2 linked regions of the Saccharomyces cerevisiae S288C genome follow. The protein of the gene in region 1 interacts with the protein of each later gene in a biochemical or structural test. Each region holds a gene or a part of one and is shown on either strand. Other genes may lie near its edges.

Evidence for each region.
Region 2: the proteins of RPS4A (region 1) and DIM1 are reported together in a solved structure, tested with the Saccharomyces cerevisiae proteins (one study listed by BioGRID).

The regions. Positions count from the first base shown.
Region 1 is NC_001142.9:701,527-718,963, forward strand, and holds RPS4A (40S ribosomal protein eS4 RPS4A), read right to left. Parts: upstream 1,543-17,437; coding exon 1,529-1,542; intron 1,273-1,528; coding exon 501-1,272; downstream 1-500. Other genes in the region: MGM101 (Mgm101p), read left to right, coding at 1-165; YJR146W (uncharacterized protein), read left to right, coding at 2,359-2,712; HMS2 (Hms2p), read left to right, coding at 2,670-3,746; branched-chain-amino-acid transaminase BAT2, read left to right, coding at 4,218-5,348; YJR149W (putative nitronate monooxygenase), read left to right, coding at 5,634-6,848; DAN1 (Dan1p), read right to left, coding at 7,285-8,181; DAN4 (Dan4p), read right to left, coding at 10,729-14,214.
Region 2 is NC_001148.4:26,961-40,588, reverse strand, and holds DIM1 (putative dimethyladenosine transferase), read right to left. Parts: upstream 1,469-13,628; coding exon 512-1,468; downstream 1-511. Other genes in the region: ACM1 (Acm1p), read right to left, coding at 1,791-2,420; PLC1 (phosphatidylinositol phospholipase C), read right to left, coding at 2,744-5,353; KAR9 (Kar9p), read right to left, coding at 5,642-7,576; ATP-binding cassette permease MDL2, read right to left, coding at 7,786-10,107; ATP15 (F1F0 ATP synthase subunit epsilon), read right to left, coding at 10,322-10,510; PBI1 (Pbi1p), read left to right, coding at 12,425-13,628. UniProt on the Saccharomyces cerevisiae protein: Specifically dimethylates two adjacent adenosines in the loop of a conserved hairpin near the 3'-end of 18S rRNA in the 40S particle.

The sequences.
Region 1 (17,437 bases):
TGTTGCAAAGATCTCGGCGTCGGTTCTGAATTATGGGACCCTGTTTTCATAAAGAAATTCAAAGTGGATCATTGTACTGAGAAGTTTGTGGAACATGTTACCACCAAGAGAAAGAAGAAAATTTGGTTAAGAAAGGACAGACAAGTTGAATATCCTTATAAATAGTCAATATGCGAACCATATAAGCTAATTTTAGTAAGTATATATATTCCAATACAATCACACACACACACACACACACACACACACACACATACGCATATATTGTGGTAGTGCGTAGTGTCAGTACGTCTTATCATACGCCTTCTATTTCAGGGTTAGCGTATTTTTACTATCAATATTACAATACGGATATATATACACACACCTAATATATATATTATACGTTATATTACTGCCAGTCGAAAAAGGAAGATACGATGTATTATTTTAAAATTCAATTTCTAATAAACATTAATGGAGATATACAAAAGAAGAAAATAATTAAGTTGTTATGAAATTTATAAACCTTGTTGAGCTCTTCTTCTGTCACGTTCTTCAGCAATAGACAACTTGATACCCTTACCCTTTGGCAAAGAAATGTAAGGCTTACCTTGTTCACCGATGACGAAGACATTGTTCAATCTAGTGACGAAAGTGTTGTCCAAGGAGTCCTTGATGTGAACTAAATCGAAACCACCATCGTGTCTTTCCTTGTGAACGATAGTACCGATACGACCCAAGTTACGACCACCAGTAACGTAAACCAACTTACCGGCATCGAACTTGATGAAATCAGTAATCTTACCAGAGGCCAAGTCGATCTTAACAGTGTCATTGACCTTGATGTTTGGGTCTGGGTATCTGATAGTTCTACCATCGTGGGTAACAACGTATGGAACACCCTTCTTACCTAATTGAACCTTCTTGACCTTACCCAACTTGTAAGAAGCTTCTTCATCGGTGATACGGTGGACAGCGAATCTACCCTTGACATCGTAGACCAATCTGAAGTTTTCATTGGTGGCATCTAGAGTGATGACATCCATGAAACCAGCTGGGTAGGTAGTGTCGGTTCTAACCTTACCGTCCACTTTAACGTGACGTTGCATCAAGATAGCCTTGACTTCACGGCCGTTCAAAGCATACTTTAATCTGTTTCTTAGAAAGACAATCAATGGCAAGGATTCACGCAATTTGTGTGGACCAGCAGATGGTCTTGGGGCGTAACAACCGGACAACTTGTCCAATAACCAGTGGTGTGGAGCTGCTAATCTTTTTAGATGCTTCTTTCTGTACGGAAAAAAATGAGAAAAAAGGGCAAAAATGAATGTATAATGAAGATACAGACATTTTATTTTTTTCATTGTGCTCGTTAGTAAATCATTACTCGTAAAATATTTGTACAATCCCAGGATGATCTAAAATTAAATGGACATAAACTGGTTCATTGTTGTTCCTATTCGTTTGGTTAAGACTCCACTTGTTTCTTGTCTATCATTCTTCTCATCCTTGCGTAATTATAATCAAAGTCTATAGTCAAACATACGGTCCTCTAGCCATCTTTGCGTATTGATTCTTTGGTTTGTTTTGGGCAGAAAAATCGCTATATAAGAAAGTATTTCAACACTAGATTAAATTATAGTATAATTTTTAATATACTAGTATTGCCGACAATCTCTGAAATTTCAATACTACCACACAGAACAGGACTTGCCAGGGCCAGTCCGAGCCAGCCTAACTCCAAGACCACGTACTAAGTGAATTGCTACTCCCCCTTACCACGACTACAAAGAGCTACACGGCCTCCCGGCCTAGGCCGCTGCTACTTTCAACTGATGTCACCGAAAAAAATAACGGAAAACGACAGTTCAAGAAAAAAAGAACGCAGGAAGAAAAAGGAAGCAAAATTACAGAATGTACGGCTGTTTAAAAATAAATAGTGGATGCATGGGTGCTTCCACGCGTCTCTGGGAAAAAAAACCAGGATATTTTAATGTTTGTTTATTTGTTTATTTCCTGCTGAACTGAATATTGAAAACATCGAAAAAATGCAGTACCCAGCTCTCCATTAGGACTTTTTACGTAATGACGAAAATGGACAAGCTGCGCAGGAAAGGACTACGAAAAGTATGCTGCCATAATGACAAGATAAGGCGCAACACACGTAATCATGACTAATGGTTGCACAGACGGTAGGCCAGGAGAAGGATTAGATCTCGTGCCGAACGACAGCAAGCTAGCTAGACTATGTTATCTGAGTGTAAACGAAAGCGCAGCAGTCTCTGCAAGAGCACGTGCGACGTGTCTGGTGTGCAAAAACCCTCTAGAGAAACATTGCTAAGGTTTACCGATGCAGGAAATCTTTAGTTCTAAAAGATGAAAGTCGGAAAAGCCAAAAAGAAACCGGAAATCTTCTCTGCGCATTGTTCTGTGGCCACGGCCTTCCTGGACCCGTCCTTCTTTTACCCGAACTTTGTCGCCCAAAAGGCATCTCATTATAATGACAAAACTGGATCTGCAAATATTTGGACATATATCTCCAGAACGGGCTCACTTCTCCTCTTCACCCAGGTGGTATATAGGAAGAGTAAGTGGACGCATCAGTCCGCGACATTTGCGGACTGTATATATTGCCAGTCAGGGCAGTCGCCAAGTGTGTCTCTTTCGTGTAGCGACGCACGTCAGACATGGATGCAACATCGAGGATGGAGCAGCCTGATGTCTTTGTAAGCAAACTCTACCACCTGCTGCAGGGGAACGCTTACTCGAACATAATACAATGGTCGACTGATGGCAGCAAGCTCGTCATTTGGAATCCGGACCAGTTCACCAAAGTCATCCTAGAGCGATTTTTTGGTATTCACACCTTTGCAGCATTCGTTAAGCAATTGAGCAAATATAACTTCCAGAAGGCGGGCCGCCCGGACTGCGTGGAGTTTTCCAACATTCATTTTCAAAAAGATAACATTAATAGCCTCTCACTGGTTAAAGCTCATCAGTCTGCCGCCACTCCCAATGTCGCCGCCGTCAATAATATGAATAAGCAGTGTACTTTTCACTGGGACCCTTTCAAAGTGAACTCCATTCTAAGCAAGGCCATCGGCAAGCCTTCCTTCGAGAAATTAGTGAAAAATGTTGACAGGCTTCAGGGCAATCTTGATGAGCTTAAGTCGACAAACGCAGATAGTCTGCGTATTATAAGGGAAATTAACGCCAGCTTACAGACAATCTCCTACCACCAGTTTCACGCCTACCAAACCGCTAACTTCCTTCAAGAAAATTTTGAAGCCATCAAAAAGGTTGTATGCCCGGACTCTTGTCTACAACACCAGCAACGCCAACCAAAGCGCCCCAAACGCTACTCGTTGCTGTTACTAATACCAAACGCATCCGAATTGTCAGAAACACCTTTGATGCGCTTCGCCGGCGTGTTCGAATTTATGAACTGCTCTTTGGATACGGCCACTCAGTGGCACCCGCAGTTGCATCCCGAGGCATACGACCTTCTTTTCGTCACCGTGTCGCCCAACATGCAACAAGAACATCTCATCTACTTCAAGAGACTGAGAAACCTACTCCCAAGCTTTCCTGTAATAGCCATTATTAACAGACCCGTCTCCCCTCAAGATACCAGCATTGCTCCCTCCAACTACTCTCGCTATTATTTCCACCATTTTTTGCAGTTGGGGTTCAGTGACATCCTAGTTAGCCCCTTCACCCCAACACAACTTATAACGCTCCTTTCCAAACATCTTCGAACGTGAAAACCTGCCTCTGAGGGTCATTCACGACCTAGCATACCACTATATACGTGTACGATTTTTTTTTTCTGTGACCGCACTACACCAAAGTTTAATGTTCCATTGGCCCCGGAACCATTCTTGCAAACGGCGTTCTTTTTCCGCTTTCGGGTGACACTTAATTTAGCTTCTTTTCCCTCTCTGACACCTCTTGTTATCTAATCTGTAGATCCGACTCTTTTTCTTTTTGGTGTCGTTCTTCTATGTCCGTTTTTCTGTCAACAAAAACGGAAATAATAGGTAGAAATTAAGAGCCGTACGTGAGTGAGAGGAGATCCGAAATGAGCTGACAGTATAACTAATATAAGCTTACAAGATATTCGACTATTTCCTGGGAAAAAATTCATTCCTTTGAGAAATCCTTAATAAAAACAGACTAACTACTAAAATTTTAGAAATTTAAGGGAAAGCATCTCCACGAGTTTTAAGAACGATATGACCTTGGCACCCCTAGACGCCTCCAAAGTTAAGATAACTACCACACAACATGCATCTAAGCCAAAACCGAACAGTGAGTTAGTGTTTGGCAAGAGCTTCACGGACCACATGTTAACTGCGGAATGGACAGCTGAAAAAGGGTGGGGTACCCCAGAGATTAAACCTTATCAAAATCTGTCTTTAGACCCTTCCGCGGTGGTTTTCCATTATGCTTTTGAGCTATTCGAAGGGATGAAGGCTTACAGAACGGTGGACAACAAAATTACAATGTTTCGTCCAGATATGAATATGAAGCGCATGAATAAGTCTGCTCAGAGAATCTGTTTGCCAACGTTCGACCCAGAAGAGTTGATTACCCTAATTGGGAAACTGATCCAGCAAGATAAGTGCTTAGTTCCTGAAGGAAAAGGTTACTCTTTATATATCAGGCCTACATTAATCGGCACTACGGCCGGTTTAGGGGTTTCCACGCCTGATAGAGCCTTGCTATATGTCATTTGCTGCCCTGTGGGTCCTTATTACAAAACTGGATTTAAGGCGGTCAGACTGGAAGCCACTGATTATGCCACAAGAGCTTGGCCAGGAGGCTGTGGTGACAAGAAACTAGGTGCAAACTACGCCCCCTGCGTCCTGCCACAATTGCAAGCTGCTTCAAGGGGTTACCAACAAAATTTATGGCTATTTGGTCCAAATAACAACATTACTGAAGTCGGCACCATGAATGCTTTTTTCGTGTTTAAAGATAGTAAAACGGGCAAGAAGGAACTAGTTACTGCTCCACTAGACGGTACCATTTTGGAAGGTGTTACTAGGGATTCCATTTTAAATCTTGCTAAAGAAAGACTCGAACCAAGTGAATGGACCATTAGTGAACGCTACTTCACTATAGGCGAAGTTACTGAGAGATCCAAGAACGGTGAACTACTTGAAGCCTTTGGTTCTGGTACTGCTGCGATTGTTTCTCCCATTAAGGAAATCGGCTGGAAAGGCGAACAAATTAATATTCCGTTGTTGCCCGGCGAACAAACCGGTCCATTGGCCAAAGAAGTTGCACAATGGATTAATGGAATCCAATATGGCGAGACTGAGCATGGCAATTGGTCAAGGGTTGTTACTGATTTGAACTGAAGTATCGCTATTGCTACGTAAAGTAATTAAAAGTTAAAAAGAATAAAACTAGAGCGTTTTTTCTACTGAGTTAAGGGGTCATGTCAGAATATAACATACCCTTTGACATTGTATATATGAATTCCTGGATTTTGCAGTGATCTGATAAAAAATGTATGTCGAAACCTGCAATTATCCTTTCGTTTTTTTTCTTGTCATCTAGTGCTGGCCTATCGGTATCAAGGACATCTTTTGCGCGGATAGAAAAGGGCCCATACATACCTTAGAAGCAACTCAAGACAATTCATGTACTTTTTAAACCAACTAATATTTCAAGACGTTTCCGTAATGTCGGTGGATAAAAGAGAAGATATGAGCAGATCTTTCCAAAAATGTTTAAACTTGAGATACCCTATCATCCAGGCCCCTATGGCGGGGGTCACGACTATTGAAATGGCCGCTAAGGCTTGTATTGCGGGCGCCATAGCTTCACTACCCCTATCCCACTTAGACTTCAGAAAGGTCAATGATATTGAAAAGCTTAAACTGATGGTTTCACAATTCAGAGATCAAGTAGCCGATGAATCTTTAGAGGGCAATCTCAACCTAAACTTTTTTTGCCATGATATCGTTGATAAACCGACCGATCTTCAAACAGCTAACTGGGCGAAGCTATACAGAAAGTCTATGAATGTGCCGATTGATATGAATGAGATTAAATTCGATAATGGTAATGTATCTTTTAAGGCATTTGAAAAAGAAAATGCTCTTCAAGATTTTTTCCAGTACCTATCAGATGGCTTTAGGCCTAAAATCATTAGTTTCCATTTTGGCCATCCGTCGAAATCTACAATAGAATATTTACAAAAAATTGGAATTCTAATTTTTGTGACTGCCACCTCTGTAAGAGAAGTTCGATTGTTAGCACGTCTCGGCATTAATGGCATAGTGTGTCAAGGCTATGAAGCGGGAGGACATAGAGGAAATTTCTTAGTAAATGACCCCAAAGATGATGAAAACTTATCAACTGTACAATTGGTGAAAAGAACAGTTGATGAACTTGCTGAAATGAAAAATAAAGGTCTTATACATGCTACTCCCTTTGTCATTGCAGCAGGTGGTATAATGGATTCCAAAGATATATCATACATGTTATCACAGCAAGCAGACGCTGTTCAAGTGGGGACTGCTTTTCTTGGTTGCAGTGAATCCAATGCATCAAAAAACTTTTCAAGCCCCTTCACTCGAGAAACAACAACTAAAATGGTTAATATAATATCAGGAAAGCCTGCAAGGACCATCTCTACTCCTTTTATCGAAAAAGTCATTGCTAATTTTCAAGGTGAGGAGCTTCCTCCATATGGCTACATGTATAGTGCTTTCAAGCAAGTAAGAAAAAAGTATCCAGAATTGGCTAACTTTATTTTAGCTGGACAAGGATTTCAGAATGTCCAATCAGGAATCACAACAGACAAGAAAATTGAAACTATGGGCGCAAGATTGAAAATTGACGGAAAATAATATAAATACATATAAAAGACCTGATACTTATTGACACAAATTTTCTGGATGACCTTTTTCTATATGATATATATACGTCGCTATTGGATCGTAGGTTACTTGGCCATTATTTGAGCGTAACCGTTCACAGGATGTGGGCTTTAAGGAATACAAAATCCAAATATGGAAAAAATTTGATATCAATTTAGGGCTTTAATATCTAAAGGTATTTATTTTTTTCACAGTTTTTTTTCTGTTAAGCTGTCTGCAATAAGGAATGCTCCTGACATGAAATTCGAAAAGGACCGGAAATAGTTGGAGCACAAGACTGCAAACTAAAAAACAAATTTCTTTGGAATTTCCTTACGCTTATAGTATATATCTTATAAATATTAAAATTAAGAGAATTCAATTATTTTACATCATTTATACAACTGTACAGGGCCGCACATGATCACTATAACAATAGAGCGGCGGCACCAGCAATAGCAGCGGCACCGAAAACACCGTTATTGAACTTGTTAGCACCGTTAGTGGTAACGTCAATAACACGAGATGCTGACGATGTGACAGAAGTAGCTGTAGATTGAGCTTTGGAGGAGACTGGCTTAGTCACAGTTGAACAGACGTTATTTGAACAACTAGTTATGGTAGTTTCAACAGTGGAAGCTTGAGTCTTTGTGACGGTGCTGTCAGTACCATTTTGGACCACTGGAGTGACTGAGATAGAAGATGTAGAAGAAACTGGAGCTGTGGTATTGGCAAAACTAGCAGAGCTTGCAACAGAGCTTGCAACAGAGCTTGCAACAGAACTTTCAGCAGAACTTGCAATGGTGCTTGCAGCAGAGCTAGATTCAGATGAAACAGTAGCTTGGGTGGAAGCAGCGTTTGAGCTGGTCTCTGCTGAACTTTCAGAGGAGCTAGAAGACTCAGTGGCGGCACTAGAAGCTTCTGAAGTGGAGGTGGAAGAAGCCTCTGTGGTAGAAGCTGGTACTGCAGTAGCAATACCTTCATTCGCAAGTGCTTCGGAAATAGCACCCATCAATCTAGTAGAGTACCATGGCACACCGGTGATCATTCTGGTCACTTCATCACCTGAAATACCAGTCAACATGGTGGTGAAATCGCCACCGGCAAAAACAGCCTTGGCAATTTCAGGTGGGTATGTTTCAGTCTTATGCAAAGCCTGGAAAGCGTAATATTCAGATAAATGGGCGCCAATATCAGAAACGTAAACAGCCAATTCAATCAAATTGACCCTTTCATCATAAGGGGATAGAGTGGTGGTCACGGATGCGGCGGTTGCACTTGCCACTAATGCTGCGGCGACAGCTAATATACTAATTCTAGACATTACTTGGGGTATATATTTAGTATGCTACACTTTTATCTGAAAAAGAAGAAATAGTACCGTGTCGACATAAAAATAGTATCATTTAGTCGTGCTATTTTATACGCAGTATTTTCAATCATTTCTATTCAATGAGTACCCAGGGACCCTTTTGCATTTCTAGCATTCTCTGTTCCTGAACGATGTTTTGTTAGAGGCCTCGTATAGATCTTGGCATTTTCAAAGGCACGCGTTGTATTGTTTTATTGCCTATCAAAGGAACGCGCAGGAAACATGAAACTTTTCAGAGGAGCGTCTACGGAGGATACATTCATCAATTTTTCCTCATAAATTAAACGATGTGTACAAAAAGGACGAATTGACCCCGTCGTTCGGCGAAACCTTATGTATTTTCCTGGCCATATGTGCTAAACGACAGATAAAATAGGAAATTCTCCCCATTTTCGACTAATAAGATAAGCGGGAGATAGCATCATATGAACTTTTGCACTCAAACGAAGAAAGCACGTGAGGATTGAAGAAAACGGATCGCCGAATCCAGCGTGAATTGAGCTCAACAATTTTTAACTATATCAATCTCTTTCACTTTAAACACTACCACTTAAATCTTTTTAAAACGCTTTGCCCAATGACCCTTTTTTTATTAAGGTTGCTGAGCTATTTTTTCTATACTATTGTCAAACTCCAAAGATATTTTGAGCTTTATTTTCTTGCAAACAAAATACCCTACTGCTTAATAAATGCAATGTATACATAGTTTTCAAGGTACATTATATTTTAAAGTTACCTCAGGCCTGTTTGCCCTTGCATTCTACAGTCCCTTTGTAAGGGTGTGAGACAAAAGGCCTCGTTAGCTACGACTGTTGAAATCGTTTGAATTCGGCTTACAATCTAACTTTGACTGCGCAATTGTTCATGAATTTATAGTGTGCTTGCGAGGGGCAACTTCATACGAAGGCTTGTAGGACCCCTAAGTGCATCCATAAACATGCTCAAAGATTGTCTTAGAAACCACAAGGAGAACGCACAGTATGAATTAAATAAGTTGCGCTCTGCTAGAATATTTTGACGATTACAAAGTCAGAGATCGAAACATTTCCGCTGTGCAACTAAGTAATTTTCCCAATCTTTGGAGAAAATCAATAATCACAAGATTAGTACTTATCCTCTTGTAGGCTTCTCTCTTTCGCTATAAATAGAGCAGAAAAATATGATACAGAAGGTCGAAAGTTTGCTTCGCTGACTGAAGCTTTCTGTCAAGAGTTGACAAAAACATACAAGATTCAGTATTGATAATAAATGGCCTGCACTTAAGACTCAACCATCCCAATAAGTTACCTAGTTGTGTTACCTAAGCTAGGAAAATACACATTGAAAGATGTTTTACAAAGTATTGTAAAGGTACAATGCATTCTAGGCCGAATGTTCATTTCGGATTGTAATATGTAGTCAACGATAACGAACCTCATGGTTATGGTTATTTCTGTTCCAAATTTGCAAAATAGATCTTCATTGTCGTTGTCGGAACGGGTGGTTTATAATTTTAGTAACCATAGTAACTGAATAAAGTGACCAAACAGTATACTTCATAGCTCCAGGCTAGGAAACAAGATACTACTGCGAAACTAGCGGAAGAAGTTACGTTAAAGATCTATTAATTCAATGTTAATTCAAATTTAATATACGTAGGGATGCGAGTTATTACATTGGAAATATAGCAAATCACTGAAATACCATCATTTTGAATACATTCGTCATCGCCGCATCAGTTATACGTTTCTGCTATACCGTATAAGAATACTTGCTTCTATTCTTAGTTATACTGAATTTTAGACATTAATAAACTACTAACGGTTGCTACTACACTACACTATTCTTCTACCAATGTCGATGAGAGCGAACTCTTCAGAAAGCAGTTTACTTGAATAAATTTTTTCAAAGGCCCTCATTTCTAATGCCTTGTGACCTAGAATTTAGCAGCGTCAACTTTATGGAGCGTTATTTCTCAATTCCATCTTTGTGCCGCGTAGTTCTATCTTACATAACTTTATTTTAAGAAGAGCTTTAGTTCATGTTCTTGGAAGAATTCCTTTTTTGACACGATTTTTAACCTAAAGGCTAAATTTTATTTAAACTAACAGTGAACAAAGTATTTAAAGCTTCATATGTGAGTTGTCGAACACGTCAATAAACGGAGGTAATAAAATGAAGGATGAGGGAAAAAAAAAACCATAATTTTAGGCTGAAGCCCATATTGTGATATTTTTAATGTTTTCTTAGAAAAATTAAAAAACTTCTCAATTAAATGTAAAATTTTACTTGTTGGCGATACCTTAGAGGATTCAAATTTAACTAGTGTTAATATACGAACTGGTAACACTAATGTTTAGATACCTGTATATCATACAAACCATTCAAAGTGTATAGGAGTATGTTCACAAACCGTAGTATTATGTGCTACATGAATCAAGTATAGATTTAAAATTTCTTTCAAGTCAATTTAAATTATTTTACAATTGTTTATATGCTTGTGAAGATTATATTGTATCACTATAGCAGTAATAAAGCGACAACAGCAACGATAGCGGTACCAAAAATGTTATCTTTATCGAAATTATAGGCACCGTTGGTATTGATACTGACAGTATAAGAAGCAGATGAATGAGCAATGGAAGTAGCCGAGGAGGCTTTTGGAATTGGTGAGATGACTTTGCTGGTAGCGGTCGCGATTGGTGCAGTTAACATGGTACAGGTTCCACCTGAGCAGTTGGTCACAGTAGTTTGAGTGATAGACAATCCGGTTCTGGTAAACATGCTAATCCCTGCATCGACAGTAGTCAGGGTGGTACAGGCACCCGCAGAGCAACTGACTTTAATCGCTTTGGGGATGGTCGACTCTGCATTGTTCGATGTAGTGGCTTTGGAGTTGAAACTACTAACCGGAGACATCAGCGTGGTGCAAATACCACCCGAACAACTAGTAATAGTAGTTTCCATAGTTAGCAACTCGGTTTTAGTAGAGGCGACATCTTCTTCATTATCTTCGCAACTAATGGTAGCGGTGGTAGTTGCTTCGCTGGTGATTGTAGTAACTGGAACAGTCAGGGTCGAGCAAACACCACCAGAGCATGTTGTTATAGTTGTTTCGACCGTGGAAGTTTCTGTAGTTGTTAATGTGTTCGCCTTAGCATTAATAGTAGTAACCGGAGACATCAGCGTGGTACAAATACCACCCGAACAACTAGTTATAGTAGTTTCCAAAGTTAGCAACTCGGTTTCAGTAGAAGTGATATCTTCTTCATTATCTTCGCAACTAATGGTAGCGGTGGTAGTGGCTTCGCTGGTGATTGTAGTAACTGGAACAGTCAGGGTCGAGCAAACACCACCAGGGCATGTTGTTATAGTTGTTTCGACCGTGGAAGTTTCTGTAGTTGTTAATGTGTTCGCCTTAGCATTAATAGTAGTAACCGGAGACATCAGCGTGGTACAAATACCACCCGAACAACTAGTTATAGTAGTTTCAACGGTAGAAACTTGAGTTTTCGTCAAAACACTATCTTCATTAGTACAACTACTCTTACAGCTCGTGATGACAATTTCATCTGTTGATAGGTTTGTAAATGTTGAGGTTGCATTACGAACATTTTCTATCGTGCTGAACAGACCGCTACTGATGGTGTTGGAACTTCTGGCATCACTGCAATTACTTCTTGAGGATACTAAGAGAGGGGAACTTGATGCAAAAGATGCGACTGACGATGTAGGTTCCATAGAAAATGAAGAGACGATCGATTGGGAAACAGTGAAAGTACTTAAAGTGAAACTTGACATATTTGATGACGAAAGATATAAGGAAGAAGTCCGCTCAGCAATGAAGCTAGTGGATGTAGACGTAATTGCAGTAGACGACTCTGGAGAGGAACTGATTTCACTGAAGGGAATATTAGGAGAAACTGAATCGGTAGAGCTAGTGACCACAGTTGAAGAAACAGCAAGTGGAGTGGAAGGCGTAGCAAAAAAGGTAGTAGATTGGGTAGAGGAGTTACCAGAGACATCAGATTTAGCAGAAACAGTGGATCTGGTAAAGAAATCAGCAGCCTTGCTCGAGGAAACAACGGCTGAAGTGAAAGTGGATGTGGCAGATAGACTTTCAGTAGAAGAAATGGATTCATCAGAAGAAGGTCCAACCAAAGAAGTGGGTTCAACTGATGAACTGATCCCGCTTGAAGTAAGTACTTCAATGGAAGAAGGAATCTCAGAAGAGGAAGTAATTACACTAGAAACTATTAGTTCACTGGAAATGGTGATTTGATTAGAGGAGATAGATTCTGCGGAAGTGGTTGCTTTACTGAAAGAGAGAGGTTCAGCAGAAGAGGTGATTTCACTGAAAGTAGACCCGAAGGAAGAAACAGGTTCTGTCGTGGTCACTTGACTAGACCTGATAGGTTCAACAGAAGAGGTGACTTCACTTACAGTAGTAGGTTCAGCGGATGAAGTGACTTGACTAGACCTGATAGGTTCAACAGAAGAGGTGAATTCACTGACAGTAGTAGGTTCAGCGGATGAAGTGACTTGACTAGACCTGGTAGGTTCAACAGAAGAGGTGAATTCACTGACAGTAGTAGGTTCAGCGGATGAAGTGACTTGACTAGACCTGGTAGGTTCAACAGAAGAGGTGAATTCACTGACAGTAGTAGGTTCAGCGGATGAAGTGACTTGACTAGACCTGGTAGGTTCAACAGAAGAGGTGAATTCACTGACAGTAGTAGGTTCAGCGGATGAAGTGACTTGACTAGACCTGGTAGGTTCAACAGAAGAGGTGAATTCACTGACAGTAGTAGGTTCAGCGGATGAAGTGACTTGACTAGACCTGGTAGGTTCAACAGAAGAGGTGACTTCACTGACAGTAGTAGGCTCAGCGGATGAAGTGACTTGGCTGGGACTACTTGAACTGATATATGTATCGCTCGTAGTAGTAGTAGTTGCAGAAGTAGTGAATGCGTTAGTTGTTGAGACACTAGAGGTTGTATGGTCAGTAGAAGCCGTAGATGTGGCAGGTGTAGTAAGACTGGCAAAAGTGGTAGAGGTTGTAGCAGTGGTAGAAATGACAGAGGATGCAGAGGCACTAGAAGTACTGAAAGTGCTTGAAGTTGTAGAGGTCGTGGGAGCGGTAGAAATGGTAGAAGTGGTAGAGGTTGTAGAAGTTGTAGAAGTTGTAGGAGCGGTAGAGGTTGTAGAAGTTGTAGGAGTGGTAGAAGTTGTAGGAGTAGTCGATGTGCTTGAAGTAGTAGGAGTAGTCGATTTGGTGGAAGTTTGAGAAGTGGTGGAGGTTGTAGAAGTTGTAGGAGTGGTAGAAGTTGTAGGAGTGGTAGAAGTTGTAGAAGTTGTAGGAGTGGTAGAAGTAGTAGAGGTTGTAGGAGTAGTCGATGTGGTAGAAGTTGTAGGAGTGGTAGAAGTAGTAGAGGTTGTAGGAGTAGTCGATGTGGTAGAAGTTGTAGGAGTGGTAGAAGTAGTAGAGGTTGTAGGAGTAGTCGATGTGGTAGAAGTTGTAGGAGTGGTAGAAGTAGTAGAGGTTGTAGGAGTAGTCGATGTGGTAGAAGTAGTAGAAGTGATAGTGGTGGTAGGAGTAGTCGAAGTACTAGATTTTGTAGTCGTTGTAGAAGTAGAGGTTGGGATAGCCGTGTAAATACCATCCTTTGAAAGCGCTGAAGAGATAGCCGGCTTTAATCTGGTAGAGTACCACGGAACACCAGTGATCATTCTAGTTACTTCATCACCCGAAATACCGGTCAATCGAGTAGTGAAATCACCGTAGTCAAAAACGGCTGCTGCGATTTCCGAAGGATATGTTTCAGTCTTATGGTGATTCCGGAAAGAGTAGTACTGAAATATGTGGGCTCTGATGTCAGAAACATAAACAGCCAATTCAATAAGGTTGACTCTTTCATCGTAAGGAGATAAAGTAGTGGTCGCTGTAATAGCAGCCGCACTAGTAGCTAAGGCTACAATTCCTGCTACGATGCTTATATTAACCATTGCTTTCTTCGGAGTTTTTCGGATATCGCAGATTCGACAGGAACTGGTACTTATTTCAGTTTGAGCATACTCTCAATACAGCCATTTACACAGGCCATTTATAGGCTTTCGAACCAAACAGCTGTTGTATAAACGAATATATTGGAGCAAAATCACTATCTTTGCCAATGCTTCTTGTTTTACAGTTCCTGAACGATGGAGATCTTAAACAGATCTCGTATAATTTTTGACATCTTTAAAGGCACGCGATGTACTGTCTTTTTCACCGCCAAAGAAATGCGCAGCATGTAAAAACTTCTCCGGAGAAAACGCCTACGGATGGGCAGATCGATCGAATTTCCCCGTGCCTAAATTGTTCTGCTCTTATTATCTGTGATTAAGTGACAGAACTGCAAAAAAAGTTAATTTGATGTCGTCGTTCAATAGACATTCACATAACTTTACTCTACGTGCTATACGCGCTACCAAACAGAAAGATCACTTTTTCCCAGTCAGTAGACACTGGGTCACTTGGGGTTTAGCACACTCGAAAAGGAGTAAATATGCTGCAAACGAGAATGTGCAAGCACCATTCAGAGGATCTTAGCTCGTAGAGAGAGAGAAGCTGTTTGTGCTATCCAATTTTGATCCTAGCGCTCCGAAAAAGGTCCGTATTAGGAAACTAGATCTTGTTAATTGAAATATCTCCTCATTTTTTTGCAGCCCGCCACTCAATGCGCTTTGTAACCTGTCATAGCTTGCACAGAGAAGTATCAAAGTCTACATGTGACAAAAAGAAAACCCAAATACTTCTTGGCTATGAATGTTATCGTTTGATGATAACATCCATTCCTCCAATTGGAAAATAATTACTCACGAAGGTTCTATGCATCCAAAGCGGAACCGTTGCTTTCATTTAATAGAATCCACAGAACTTTTAGTGTGATTTATACGAATTCCAAGGGAGACCTCGACGTGTGACTTGAATTAAGAAAAAGCCTTGCCAATCATAATAGTTCATATATGATAAACGGTCTTGATTCGGGTTCTTATAGCAACAGTAACGAAAAATCTCTACCCTCATAACTTAGTATTGTTGTGTTAGCGGTCATGAAATCTTTTGTATTTCCTTTAACATATCAGTTATATTTTCTTCACGCTACGTCAGCCCCATTATTGTGCCAACAGTTTACATCCTTTGCATTCAGAGGTGGTTCATTAGTCGCCTACAGCTGCCCGTTTGGAATGACGGCCCGTAGAGGACACGTTAATAGAAGACATTCCCCGCGATTCGACGAGTACGGCGCACTCTCAATGATTTGTAAAGGTTTCATATCAAACTATCAAAATATGCGGGGCTCTGCGTAAACAGAAGCAATCAGACTACATAAGGTCCTCAGTGTAATCTTACCGTAGGCCGATATGTCTTCCATTGTGAGAATTTCTCAACATTCTGTGGTTAATCAACCAAATCATGCGATACTAATGATCTTGACGGGCATACATAATAGAAGCTAAAAAAAAAAAACTAGCCTGAAGCTTATTCTGGGGCCCATATGCTCGAAATGCCAAATTTTCAAAAATCTAGCCCTACATGCACAACAAATGATTGTGCCTGCCTCCTGGCAGGAAAAGGGTTGATATGAAGATGTCCGGCGGCCTCTTAAACTTAAGATTGAAAGACATGCTAACCTTGTTCCGTTTTAAGGATAAAGAGGAGCCTCAATAAATGTGTAGTTATCCCTTGCTAATAAAATAGTCTTATTATCTCGCCACTATAAAAGTCGAAGTAAACAGACAGAGACATGTTCGATACTCCACTTGCACTTCGAAAAAGTAATTAGGAATCCTATATATGCGATGCTATCGTTAATCTTTTACCTTCGTTTCCCATCTTATATAAGGGGATGACGAAAATACCTTTCGGCTTACAAATCCATCTGTAACAGCTGAAAAAAAAAACCAGATCTGTTGATCAGTTGTAATCGTGTAAACGAGTACAAAAGGCCAGAGACAGCTTCTACTCCAAGCTTAAGATACGTATACACAAAAGATTTTTACTTGAAGGAGTAGAGCCGAAGCGTGTGAGTATGACAGCGCTGCGTAAAACATCAGAGACGTATGTAATCTTCTTGTCTAATCCATTATTGTCAATAACTCAAGCTATATTTACATCTTTAGCGAAGTCAGAAACTTATTGTCATCCTTTCAAGCCTCGCCGTTGACATCCGCTGTCAGCATCACCCTCACCTAAAGTGTTATTACACGAAGAACTGATTAAATACGCCGAGTTTGGGATGACCTGTTCTTACCCGTTCATTCCTTTTTATGGCACACTACGGTTAGTATACGGCGTTGGCCGTGTGATAGGGAAAAATAGGGTAGGTAATAGAGAACAATTGATGAGTTTTATGTAATTGTATTCGCGCAAAAATAAAAGAATATCAACAAAAAATTTTGATTCGTTTACTTCATAAAAAAAAATCCTAAAATTTATGAAAATGATTAAAAAAAGACATCCACTTCCCCATAGTGCTAAATTGGTATGGACGTTAAATAGCTTTTATCGTCGTTGGTTTTCAGACAAATGTGTAGCACCCTAAGTGTGAGATATCATATATTTCAGAGAATATAGCACCAAGTATCGTTATGCGTTCTGGTCCGTACCTGAGAGCTGCTCATAAGAATAGGCAAAAGCAAGAAAGAGTGTTCTGTCAGGAATTTTCAAACTATTTACAAGCTAGGAAGGCTATACGTAGTAAATAACAGCCACGATTCGACGTGGATAAACAAACATCTACGAAATCCCATTTTGGCATGAAAAAGTGGAGCAAGAAAGACTTGAGGTATGAAATACTTGCAATCTTTCACATCAACACTACTTTCAAGATGTTATTGCAAACAGAAAGTGCGATTCTCTTTCTTTCATCCGGGCGTTACAGATGACCATATCTTCAGTGAGGATAACGAAAGATAAAGAGTGCTGGCTCACATTAATGGAAAAAGAAATCTACCCGCTAATTGTGATGGCTCAGAGTTTCTTCTTATGATAAGGATGTTAGTTTATATCTTGACATGTGTGTTTCTATTGTACACCGTAATAGCAGATTAGATAAACGAGAGGTCATTCGTAAGGATGAAAAAATGAACATCTGTTTAACTTTCAAGCTTTCTACCATATAGCCGAGATGAGCAAATACATTAAAACATCAAAAAGTGGTGCTTGAATGCTTATTTTATGACG
Region 2 (13,628 bases), on another chromosome or scaffold:
GGGAAGCTTCCTCTGGTCCCTGTGCGGAAATGCATCACCGCCTAGCGACTCCCGCCGCAATCAGTGCCGTGCCATCTAGCGACGCCGTACGGCCACTCTACACTGCCAGCGACGTCGCTATCGGTATTGGTTGCCGTTAAGTGAAAAAAAAACAAACATCGCTATCTCAACAGAGTTCCACTGGGAAACAATAGACGCACTTTTATGCACCCTGGTGCCTTCAAAAAAGAAGTTTGACTAAGAGGGCTGAGGCTTAAGCTTTTTAACCGTAGTAGTTCAACTATATAAGATAACGATTTCGAAAAATAGGAAAGATACAACCATTCTTTATCGTACCTATAAGGATGTGAGTCCTTCTTATCAGGGGGAGTTACGTAAAAATGATTCCCCACTTTTTGTCTTCTAGAAACAAACCAGCCCCGCTGTCAAGATAAGCTTAATTTTGAATTGCTTTTTTTTTTCTTATCTTAGGTAAATAGTATACAAGCACTTACATAATTGATAAGAGAGCTCATGAAAAATGGATACCAACCTGGTGAAAAGCATATAATAGCCTTAGGAAATCATTTTGATCACATTTACCCGCTCTTTTGTCGCCTAAGTCGGTCTCCTTCAGAACTGTGTCAATCTTTTCCTTGACGACATCGTGCATAGAACCCTTTGTATCATCCACCATTTCGTTGTTCATCGCCAAAAATGTCTTATAATTCTTCTCCAGAATGTCCATCACGGTGGTCGATTTGAAGCCAGCTGAAATCGTTCTGTTTTTCCTCACAAAGACGATTCTCAACAAACCATCCCATTCGTTGTAATCCACTTGCGGTCTTGGATTTTTAATCTCTAGTCTAACAACGCTGGATTCCACTTGTGGTGGCGGTCTGAAGTTATTCTTACCCACTTTCATGATGTGTGTAACATTAGCCCACATTTGTACATTGGCGGATAATCTACAGTATAATGAGTCACCTGGTCTTGCCAGTAATCTTAAAGCAAACTCTCTTTGAAACATAAGAATAGATACTCTTGGTGGTCTTGGTTGGTTAATTAATTTGAAAACCAGAGGCGATGAGATCTGGTAAGGAGTGTTACTAATACAGATATCAAAGTATGGTAATTCAGTCTTCATAAAATCTCCAAGCATGATTTCTAACTTTTTCTCCACAGGTGTGCCACGTACCCTCTTAGTTAATTCTGCAGCCATTCTGGGATCCATTTCTACTGCCACTACGTTTTTTGCTTGTTCGAGGATCCTTACAGTTAGGTTACCTGTACCAGGACCAACCTCCAAAACAACATCTGAGGGTCTAATCTGTGCCTTATCAACAATACCTTGCGCCACCAAAGGATTTTTCAAAATATGCTGACCTAGATCTGTGTTGAATTTAAATACTGAACTCAAATGTTTCTCGGCAGAGACTTGTTTGGACGAAGTTGCTCCGGAGTACTTCTTTTTCGCAGCCTTTCCCATGGTATAATTTTATTTTTATTTGTATCGATATAAAAGGTACGACGTCTAAAGCTTCTAACCGAATGAGTCCACTGTATAATGCACTGTTCCTAATTTATCGATCTTATGTTATAACCAAATATTTTCAATTTTCAGCTCATCGCGATTTTCAAAAATTTTTCTACCCTCTAACCCGGGTAATACACAAGGATGGATTTATTATTATTATTGATTCTTATTATTATTACTACTCTGTTAGTAATTTACACACGAGGTGAGGAATACGTGAATGAATTAAATTGGTATCGTTAATTAATTATTAGACGCTAACTGTGTACATTATTTACTCATCTTCATAGACGTGGAAGGACAGTTTTCTCACTACTTTTTTTTCACTGACGTCATCGGTAGAACGGGATATCTTTGTCTCTGGGTTCTGTCCTTGGTGTTTACTAGTGAAGAAAATAGATATCTTCGAATTTCTTGGCGGCGTTATAAAACTGGGTAGGCTGATTTTTTTATCACCCAGTGGCAACGTCAGTGGTATAGTCTCATCGGTGAGAGGATCCTGTATGTAACCTTTGAATTCGTCAACACTTAAGTCCTTCAATGCAATTCTTCCTCCTTCCCTTAAAAATGCTCTTTCATAAGGGCAAATTTTAGCGGGTGAAAGGTTTTCTTTTACTTGGGAAGGATTATTCTCATTGCTCACAGAATTGTTATTATTGTATATTTCATTATGTCTGTGGACAGCTATGTTTCTTTCTTCAGCCGTTTCCTCATACAGCATAAATTGTGCAGCTTTAGAAATTTGGATTGTCTTTATTGGACTTCGCCTTAGTGCATAGTCTGTGTCTATTTGTGACCTTCTCTTTGATGGTGAACGAAGTTCATTGCCTTTTACCACTGCTCGTGGTTTTTGGTTTATATTCTTGCTTGATAAAATGGTTCTCTTTTTTGATGGTGATATCATCTTTCAGTGTCTCTTACTTTATTTCTTCCAAAGGATCCTAATTCAGTAATGCTTAATATGTTCTCCTTTCTTTTTACTTTATATAGTATGATAACAAAAGCACAAAACTTCAGAAAGAAGACGCGTCAACGCGCTACGCGAAATATGCATCAACTTTCTGCTGAAGAGAAGGCAATCAGCGAAAAACAGAAGTTGTTATTGTGTATTGTCGTGGTACTTCGTCGTCCCATTTGATATATCCATTCTAGGTAATCATGTTGGTATATGCAAGTAGGTATATGTACGTATTTATGAATATGTGTATTTGGCCGGAAAAAGATCGCCTATAAAATTTGTGTATGAATAAATAAAGTGCAAAATATGTATTGTTCCCCCTCCATGTTAAACAACGGAATGTGACGATATCCCATCCTCAAATAGTTCAGCTTAAGGCAAACAGATGCAATCTGGGTCTCTTCAGAGATAACCATGAATTTTATAAATGTGAGGTCTGTATCTTTCAATGTGATAGAAACTTCAGCATCCCATATTGGGTTGAATCCATTCCCTTGAGAACTCTTAGTGGATGCTTCAGTGGCAGAAATCCTTGTACCCTTATCGATTGAGATGGGCATTGTCGGCTCGTCATCGGTATGAAACTCCACTTTAACAAAGGAATTGGTGTTATTTCTGCTTGGCGATGTATCATTCAATCTGGGCAATAACTGTGTAGATAAAATTCGAATTTTAACAGTAACAGGATCACTACCATTTTCAAAATGTTCGTAAATTAATGGAATCATTTTCGCCTTTGTTACTACAGGTAGCAACTTTTTTGGTTTTAGCACGTATCCTGATTTAAAACTTCCATCAGGTTGGTGATCTAATATTTGAAACATTGCCAGATTAAGTTGCTGTCCAATATCATTAGTTTGCCAATTCGTAGCCACCATTTGTACACCGGCCTTCCAAAAAGGTATTGGGTTAAAATTTGATGATTTGTATCGTAAAACGTGAGGATAGACTCTCATCAAATATCTTCTATTATGTTTATCCAACGATAATTTTAAGTGTTTGTCTTTTATCATGTATTCTACTTTGCGCTCATTCAGTGAAAAACAATGCGCTATCGTTTTGGACTCTGGTAAAGAGAAATTCCTGAACTTGATGCCATGTATTCCAGAAATGTTAGAAACATCATTAATTATATCAGCGTGCTTTTTTAATCCAATTCTTTTGATGCGTTGCATACTAGAAGAATTTGTTGCGCTACTACTGTTCGTGGAGTCATCTTTCATTCTTAATTCCTGTTCATTAGCTGATTCGTAAGAAGAACTAAAAGAAGATGGAAATGGCTCATTAACGCTAAGACCTCTAGTTGCTTCACTCGTCTTCTTGGATTTCAACAGTATTTTATGTTTTAATTCCCTTGGTGATGGCAGTTTATCAGTTCTTGTGCCAACAAAGTACAGCTGTTCTGCTAAAACCTCTCTCATTATCAGGCTTGCCAATTTTTGATTATCCTTGTTACAGTTTATTTCCAGTGAAATAATCAAAGGATACGGAGACGTTATAAAAGCGTACTTCTTTATCACGCGTATAACTGTTTTTAAGGGAATAGCTGACGTTAAAAATCCATGGCATACCACTGGCCCATTTTCACCATCCCATATATCAATTTCTACGCACCTACAACCTTGTTGTAGGACTTGAATATATCCCTCCACAGATGGAGTTTCTGCAATTTGTTTCCCCAATAAATAAGTATTATGTGAAGATGCAATAAAATAATGGTTTAATGGCTTTGAATATAACTCCTCTTTAACCTCCACCAAATATGGTTGCTCCTTCAAGAACTTGGTAAAACCATCTTGCCCCATCGTCAGCTGAGTCGGTTCTCTGTACTTAATAAAATATGACCATGCAGTTTGACGATCCACTTGCTCATGCTGCTCTGTAATTAAAAATTGAAAAAAATTTTCAAATGATAAGTGGGAGTGTGGAGGTTTTGTAAATTTAGACCAAATCATATTTACCTCTTTCCTATTCTTTAAGATTTTAATGAACTTTTCAAATTCAAAATAATTTAATAGTCCGTTATGATTGATGTCTGCTAATTGGAAAAACTCTAACAATTGACCAGTTGACACATAAATATGAAATTTATCACATAGTTTCTTCACATCTGCAAAGCTCAATGTGTCCTTTTTCTCATCTTCCTCTTTTTCAGAAACAGTAATTTGCCAATGTATCCTAGCGAATTGCGAATTATCAGGCAAAAGTATGCTTTCCATTAATTCCCTCCTTAACTTCACTAAACCGCAAATGCAGCTTAAGAATGTGTTAAAGTCCAATTCATTCAAAGCAACTACGTGTAACGCTTTCAATTTGTTGGAAACCTTATAAATAATAGCAATCCAAAGTTTACTGTCCGATCTCAATCTTTTCGGATCTACTTCCTCTTGATAAGTACTCGCCGTATCACCGATTCTGATGTCTTTAACGGAGTCTAATTCCAGATACTTCGAACCATCTTTCCATATTATTTGCCCGTTGTTATTGATTAATTTAAATTCATAGAACTTCCTTCTTCTTCTTGTCATCCTAATCATCCTGATTCCTCTTTGCAATACGCGACATAGCGTGCTGAGATCACAGTCTTTTCTTAATTTCTTGTTAACAAGCTCATTTATCCCATGTGAATAAGTAAGAGGCCCCATATGGACTCTAGGCAATTCGGCTGCTCTTCTAAAAATCGACCTTATGCTTCTTCTCACAGTACTTCCATTGTTCGCGCTTTTTTGGTCAGTATTAAAAGAGGATTGAAAAGAACTGTAACTTATAAAATCTAAAGCATCATCCTTTTGTGTTATTTTCCCTTGATCTCTGCATGAGTGTCGTTGTAACTCCTTTGTAAGATTAAACCTTTGGTCATCTATAGCACTTTCAGTCATTCATATACACTGCGTGAATGACCTTACCGTTGTACGTTTATAATTCCCAGTCTTTTATTGTTTTAATGACCTGAGGCTGCTTATGTCGTGATGCTTATACTATTTTTTTTATAAAGCGTCGGGTAAAGGTGTCAAAAACTGTAAAATGAAAACGTGCGGAATCTTCATGGACTATTTAAAATTACACATAATATTACATTATTTAAACTAGTATTACAAATTCTATGAATGGAGAGGGTGAGAGGGAGGATATATAAAAATGTATAAGTATACAGTTTTAGGTTAGTATCAATAAGTTGGGGTTTTATCTAAACGCCCTTCTCTTGGTGAAAGTAACTGTGATAAGGGGGTGGGAGGCCTCAATCGGGTTCTTCTTCTTGTCGAAGGGACCCAAACTTGACTATTAGGTGTCGTGATTTTTGTTGGCGGAGTCTGGAAAACCTTTGCTATCGGTGTGTTTTCTACGGTGACTTTCACCACTTTATCCTTGTATATAGGGATCCTAGAGGGCAAGGACCGGTAATGATTCCATTTATCTTTTTCGATGTCAAGCACAGACTTATTCTTTGCCATCAAAGGAGTTTCTGTAATCTGTACTTTATTTTCATGCCGAGATGTAATGAAGGAGTCTGGTGACTTTTCATTTTCCCCACGAGAAACACGGAGGGTGGTTTCATCGGTTTCGTCATAAGGTAAGGGAGGAACACTACTTAGTATCAGTTTTCCTTTGTTTGGCGACTCCGGATCAAAAAATGGATTAATCGCATTTGATGAATTTGGGCTTGTTGCAGGTTTAATATTCATCTTCTGCAGTAACGCTTTACCAAGCTTTTTACCTTTCAAAGCCACTGTAGTTGAATTTTCCGGTGTTTTATTACTGTCACCTTCATTAATGGCGACTCTCTCCTGGAAATCCTGGGTTATAGTTCCAATAACACTATTCGGTCGCCCAAAGCCTAATGATTTCGGTTTTGGAATCTTCTTCTTGCTAGTAGCTATTTTGTTTGAAGCGGAGGATTTGATTAGAATTTTATCCGCTGTAGGCTTGATATTCAGCCATCTTTGAGCTAATTCATTTGTCTTCGATGCGACGCCAGCGTCCAAAAGTGAGAATTCCAATGCTCTGTAAATAATATTGAATGTCTTAGAAACAGTTTTTGATTTTCTCTCCAATTGCCTCTCGAGCCTTATAGTGATATCTTTGGTATACTTTGTTGTCAGTAATTTCGACTGCAACCTTTCTATCTCATCAAGAATGTATAATAGTTCATGATTTAAATTAATAAAGAGTATATTCCAACGTTTGTCGATTAGTTCGACTTTCAATTCCCTAAACTCTGAATTCATAAATCTATAATCTTTCATTATCAGCTCGTATTTTTTTTGCAAGATTGTTTGCAAAGTAGTTATGTTTGTTATATTCCGGTGCCCAAATTGCACAATTCTTTGAGGTAGGATATCAGTCAAACTTTTTTCAATTGGAGGGATATTTTTTTTTAGGTTCAAGAACTTTCTTGATAAAATATCTTCTGCCGGAGAAAATTTTGGTACCTTTGGCTCAGTTGTCTCCGTATGCGTTCCTAATAACTTGACTAGTTGTTCTAGGGTAAATGATGGAGTATGCCGTATCGGGGACGCGAACCTTTCTTCCTGAATTTCCAGACAATACGATATATTGCTATTAATGATTTTATGTAATGTATCCATATGATCCTTTGAAATTTCGTTAAATTCCAATGACGTATCCAATAATTCCTTCAAGTTAGTAAGCCATGGCTCCAACTGAGTCTTAATTTGTGTAGATTCTTCTATGACGTCAAACATCGGGCTAAATCGATTGTATTTGTCGCTATCCTGATCGTCCTTCGAGAATTCATCCTCTAGTAAATCCAACAAATGAGCAAAACCTTCCTCAATATTATGAACGTCACTAATAAATTGATATAGCATATATTTTTTCAATAATAACCAGTCCATAAACAACAAAATATCGTCTTTTCCCAGTCTTTTCTTGTTGACTAAGTCGGGAATTACCGAGGCAACGTTCTCCAAATCATCATAAAATTGAACTAACAATGTCTCTGATATACTTGTGGTACTCTCATTCAATGAGTTGCAATCGTTTATTGAATGTAATGTATTGTGAATTCTTTCTAAACGTTCACAAAAGTTCTCTTGGAAGTCATCCCCAATGGTCATAGATCTGGGTCCATCATTATCCATGGCAGTGCTACTGAAATCTTTAAGGCTGTTACAGACAAAGATTCGTGCGGCCACATTACACTTTGTTATTGTTTCAATGTTATTTGTTTATGCTACCAAAAGTATCGATTCGGGTAATGAAAATCCTTTTTATTTGGCATTTAACAGTATTATATATAGTATATATTTAAATGTGCGAGATAAGAATGGGTATATGCGATGCGGATGACTCACGGTTGTGGTGTGATCTTAATTGGATTAGCCTCCTTTGCCGCGTCTTTCAGGAGATGTTCGACAGATTTTTCAATATCATCTGAATTATTGTCTTTCGTCTCTGGAGACTGGTTATTGCTGTCGTTATCATGATTATTATCATTATCGTCATTATCGTCCTTTTTCTGGTCATCATGCTCCTTACTCTCATTCAAATCTTCCTTTTCGATGACCTTCTCTATTTGCAGTTGTTGGTCAGATGGCCCAGGAGCCGCTTTCTCATTAAGTAATTGCGATAAAGCACTTGTTGGATTCGCATACAATTCTTTGAATTTGCCCATTTCTACCACTGATCCATCATGGCCAAGGACAATAACATTCTCTGATCTTCTGATCGTACTTAGCCTGTGCGCGATGCTAACAATAGTCATCGATTTTGATTTCATTAGTTGACCAAACGTATAGTTAATGGCTCCTTCACTTTCAACATCTAAAGCTGATGTAGCTTCATCAAGAATCAAAATAGTTGGCTTTTTGATTAGAGCCCTTGCAATCGCAATACGCTGCTTTTGTCCTCCACTTAGTAAGGTGCCGTGAGGACCAATTACCGTATCGTATGTGTTCGGAAATTTTGTGATAAAGTTATGGCAAAAGCACTGCTTTGCTACTGACCTGATTTCTTCCTTTGTTGGGGTATATGTCAACCCATAAGTGATATTATCCCTAATAGTACCTGACATCAGTACCGGCTCTTGCTGAACGATACCAATATGCCTTCTTAGGGATTTACAATTCAATTTAGAGATATCTTGGTTATCTATCGTAATAGTCCCAGTAGTGGGATTATAATATCTTAGCAGTAAGAGTGCAATTGTAGATTTACCACGACCTGAAGGGCCCACAATACAAACACTCGATCCTGGCGCAATTTTAAAATTTAAATTCTTGAATATTTGAACAGAAGGCCTTGTAGGGTAGCTAAATGAAACATCTTTAAATTCGATAACACCACGATCTGGTTTATACTTGTGTCCCACAGTCGGTGAAATGGAAGGTTTCCTATCTGTTAATTCAAACAACCTGGAAGCGGCCCCAGCACCCTGCATAATTTCCGAATAGAAGGTAGAAAGGCCGAATACCGCATTCCCCGTATATTCTGTGTACAGCATAAATGCAGTCAGATCACCAATGGAGAGCTGTGATTGTAAAACAAGATAGGAGCCATACGCAAGGACGGTTAAAAAACTTAGGTCACCTAAGAGACTAGTTGTAGTAAAAAACTTTGCGTTTGTAAATGCCGCAGTTTTTCCCACCTGAAAAATATCTCTAATTGCAACGTTATACCTAGACAATTCATTACCTTCAGCAACAAACGACTGAACCGTCTTGATACCAGAGAGTTGTTCTTCAGCGACTCTAGTCAATTGACCAGTAGCTTCTTGAAGGTCTTTAGAGGTGTTTCTAATTTGCTTCCCGAACACTGAGGCACTAAAAAGAACAGGTGGAGTGAAGAATAGTAACAATATTGATAGTTGAGGTGACAAAGAACACATCATCCCCACGCCAACAACCCCACAAATTAGGGCTTTGACCCCATCCGAGACCTTCTGGGTCATTGATCTTGAAACAACATAAGCATCAGATCCTAAACGAGAAATTAAATCCCCAACTTTATGGTTGTCGAAGAATTCTGCGTCTTGATGAAGCGTTTTTTTAATGACATTTGCCCTTAGGCGTGCAACAACACGCTCACTTAGTATCCTCAATAATATAAATCTACCAAAATTAGCAGCACAACCAATCAGTAAAGCAACAGTAAAAAAGGAAAGAAACTCATATAAAGGCAAAGAAAAAATCGGTATCTTCAAATCAAAAAAATCTGATCCAGATGACGTCTTAAGTGTGTCAAGGACAATACCTATGACTTTAGGAATAGACATGCCTATGGAACATGATATGGTTAAAAGAAGTATGGCTGTAAGAAGCAGTTTCCAATCCCGTTTCGCCAACATAAATAACCTTATTATATCTTTATAGTCATCAGTTTTAGATTGCTCCTTTGCATGTGCCGACCTTGCTGATCCTTTAGATATGGGAGAGGCTGAAGGCAGAGAAGTTTCTGGAACTGTTTTGGATGAATTACATCTAAAACTTTGTAAAATTAGTGATTTTCCAACTGCAGGTGACCTTAAACACAACCGACTGAGAGGAATGAGCTGCGATGAAGAAGGGGTGACCAAAGACCGAAACCTTATAGATGGCAGTTTAGCCAGTCGGGGACGGGACAGCATGTTTCTGCATATGCCCAGCCGCAAAAGTGGTAAACGACCATTCAACATTGCGATTGGCGATGATGGGACATATATTTCTTTTTCTTTTAATGCAATGATACAAACTTTATACCACTCTTCGAAGCGGCCAGTATTCAATATCATTGTAGTCATTATTAGTTTCCCGTATAAAAGTACGTAAGTTTTCATACACAGTTGCTAGAATATTTAAAATGTATATCAGCGAGTAAAAAAAGAGCTGCAGTTCCCAGGAAGCGTTAAACTATTTTGTTATTGGAGTGGGTTCAGAAGCTGCAGTGCCATTTTTATATTGGGTATAAAAAGCATCTGTTTGCGATCTGTTAAGAACACTAGCGGTTTGTAATTCAGTTTTCAATGAAGAACGGATAGCCTGAGCGGCCACATTCAAATATGCAGCATATGATATACCAGCTTTCCTCCAGGCAGACATTTTATGAATCGGTTGTGGGCTGAAACTGTTGATGTTTCTTAGAAATACATATCTTGCTAAGTACTCAATAGAAAGGCCTACTTGTATCTCTTCATTTAACTAGACGAAAAAGGGGAGGATCAAATTTCATTGGTTCGTATAAAAGTATTAAAAAATAAGCGCGTTGCCAGACTTAGTGTGAGATAGTAAGCTAGTAAATCATCTGCTATTACCTAGTTTAGCGTATTTCCTAATAAGGATTACCAATTCCTCAAGTTCATGGCTTGGTAAGATACAGCTATAGCTTTCTTAGTTTTTTTCTTCGAGAGAACTAGTACAATGCTTCTATAGAAGTTAAGAAGTTTACCTTTTCGAAGAACAAATATATTGTTGCTTTGCTTACTCCGAGGTTATCGACTATTTTTGGCAATCCGTTTGAACCTGGATAAATACGTAAATCAGACTTTCTTTAGCCGGATCAACTCTTTTTTTTTTGTAAGCACTCTGACTTGTCGCTGCTGTGTCTGCCAATAATTCAATAATTCATAGTATTTCATACCATATGCTTTATTTAGTGTCCCACTGATGTGAGTTGAAGAATTGTATTCAGATAGGCATATCTTAAGGTCCAACTATTGCCACCGTCGTAGTGCGGAAAGGTTGATTATCGAGCGAATTAGAGGAATAAATGCTGCTATGCGCACGATGAGCAAATCGGAAGTAAACCACGCCGCTGATCCACCTGAACAAAAGAATCTCGCGGAGTTACGATTTAATGTAGGTTTGCTCAGATTACGTTACTGATACTTTACTTTGGACAAAAGTTCTCATACAAACTGTGGAAACAACACCGCTTAAACCAACGATTATGAAATGACATGGTCTAAAGTAATATAATCTATATTAGAATGTGCAGATGGCTATGGTATCCATGCGATGGCAAACCTCCGCAATGATTGGCGTTCTAGCGGCTATCCGAATTCACAATCGACAAGAAGTACTTCTAACTTACACAAGGCAACGAAATAATATCACTCTATGAAACTGCCATTTGGGTAATAGGAGTATATTGAACGACACCGGGTCAACAAGCAACTTTCCTAAGCCTTTTACACTTCTTCACATCATTCAAGATCGCCTTTTAACGAGCTACAAACCTTCACGTTCGTTCTTCTATGGAAACGTTTAAGATAACGTTAAAACGTTCTCAATCACAGAATTTAAGATGATTAGAAATGTTTTCCAAGGGATAGGGCGAAGCACAACCTCGAAAAATGGCAAAATTTTAGAATCTTAGCCACCTTAACGTCTACTTAGAGCCTTAGAAAAGCCATCAAGATTGGTGGAATAGTTGTTGAGGGAACTTAGCCGCCACATTCTCGTAGCCAAATAAAGCGAATCTGACCATTGTATGTTTCTTTTTCACTGGTATGATAGCCCAATGTGTTTAAGGAAAGTTAGGACAACACACCCGAAGAAGGACGTCACCCCTGCATTCCCAAACGAGCTATGAAATAGCTCTTTCCTCTACAAGTAATAACAACAACTTTTTTGTCTGTTTTCCGACCGTTTAACTTCAGAGATTAATTTTTTCAACGCGCTTTCGTTGAACGTCGCAAATTCGTTTAGAATAAACGAAAGGTGACAGAAATAGAAGATTATAGCCATGCATACGCACATAAATTGAAAACTGTTTCGAGGCTGAGTATTCCCTGCGTCTGCAGCCATCAGGGGTATGACTCTGCTACACGTTTACTATATTCTTGGCTAAACGATTCATTAACGAAGCGATGAGTAGATCACACTCGGCATACGAGCACAAATTTGTATGGGGGGACGGTCATATATAAAAGGGTGTATACGTTATCCTTGTTATACCTGTCCAAAGAAGTGCATTTGTAACTCACAACACAGACACATCCTCACTTTATCATAATGACTACGTTTAGGCCACTATCAAGTTTTGAAAAAAAAATTCTCACTCAATCTTTGAATGACCAAAGAAATGGAACTATTTTTTCGAGTACATATTCAAAATCTTTAAGTAGAGAAAATGACGCTGACTGGCATTCTGATGAAGTCACGCTCGGAACAAATTCTTCCAAAGATGATTCTCGTCTGACTCTGCCCCTAATAGCAACAACTTTGAAGAGATTGATTAAATCGCAACCGGCATTGTTTGCAACTGTAAACGAAGAATGGGAATTCGAGCCATTGAAGCAGCTGAAAACTTCCGATATTGTTAATGTGATTGAGTTTGAAACCATAAAAGATAAGGAGGTCAATTGCCATTGGGGTGTTCCACCTCCTTATCTCTTGCGTCATGCCTTCAACAAGACTAGATTTGTTCCCGGATCAAATAAACCTTTATGGACACTATATGTAATTGACGAAGCGCTATTGGTTTTTCATGGTCACGACGTATTGTTTGATATATTTTCAGCAGCTAACTTTCACAAATTATTTTTAAAAGAGTTAAACGAAATCAGCACAGTAACACACTCTGAAGATAGGATTTTGTTTGATGTCAATGACATCAATCTCTCAGAATTAAAATTTCCCAAATCGATATATGATAGCGCAAAATTACACCTGCCCGCTATGACACCACAAATCTTCCACAAGCAAACTCAGTCATTTTTCAAATCAATATACTATAACACTTTAAAAAGACCTTTCGGCTATTTAACCAATCAAACTTCCCTCAGCTCGTCAGTATCTGCAACACAGCTGAAAAAGTATAATGATATTCTAAATGCGCACACCTCATTATGCGGGACAACAGTATTTGGGATAGTAAACAACCAAAGGTTTAACTATTTAAAGTCAATCGTTAATCAAGAGCATATATGTCTAAGAAGTTTCATCTGTGGTATTGCAATGATATGTTTAAAACCTCTCGTTAAGGATTTCAGCGGTACAATAGTATTTACTATTCCCATAAATTTAAGAAACCACTTAGGCTTAGGTGGGTCATTGGGTCTCTTCTTCAAAGAACTAAGGGTCGAATGTCCACTTTCTCTAATTGATGACGAACTTTCCGCCAACGAATTTTTGACCAACAGTAACGATAACGAGGATAATGATGATGAGTTTAATGAAAGATTGATGGAATATCAATTTAATAAAGTTACAAAGC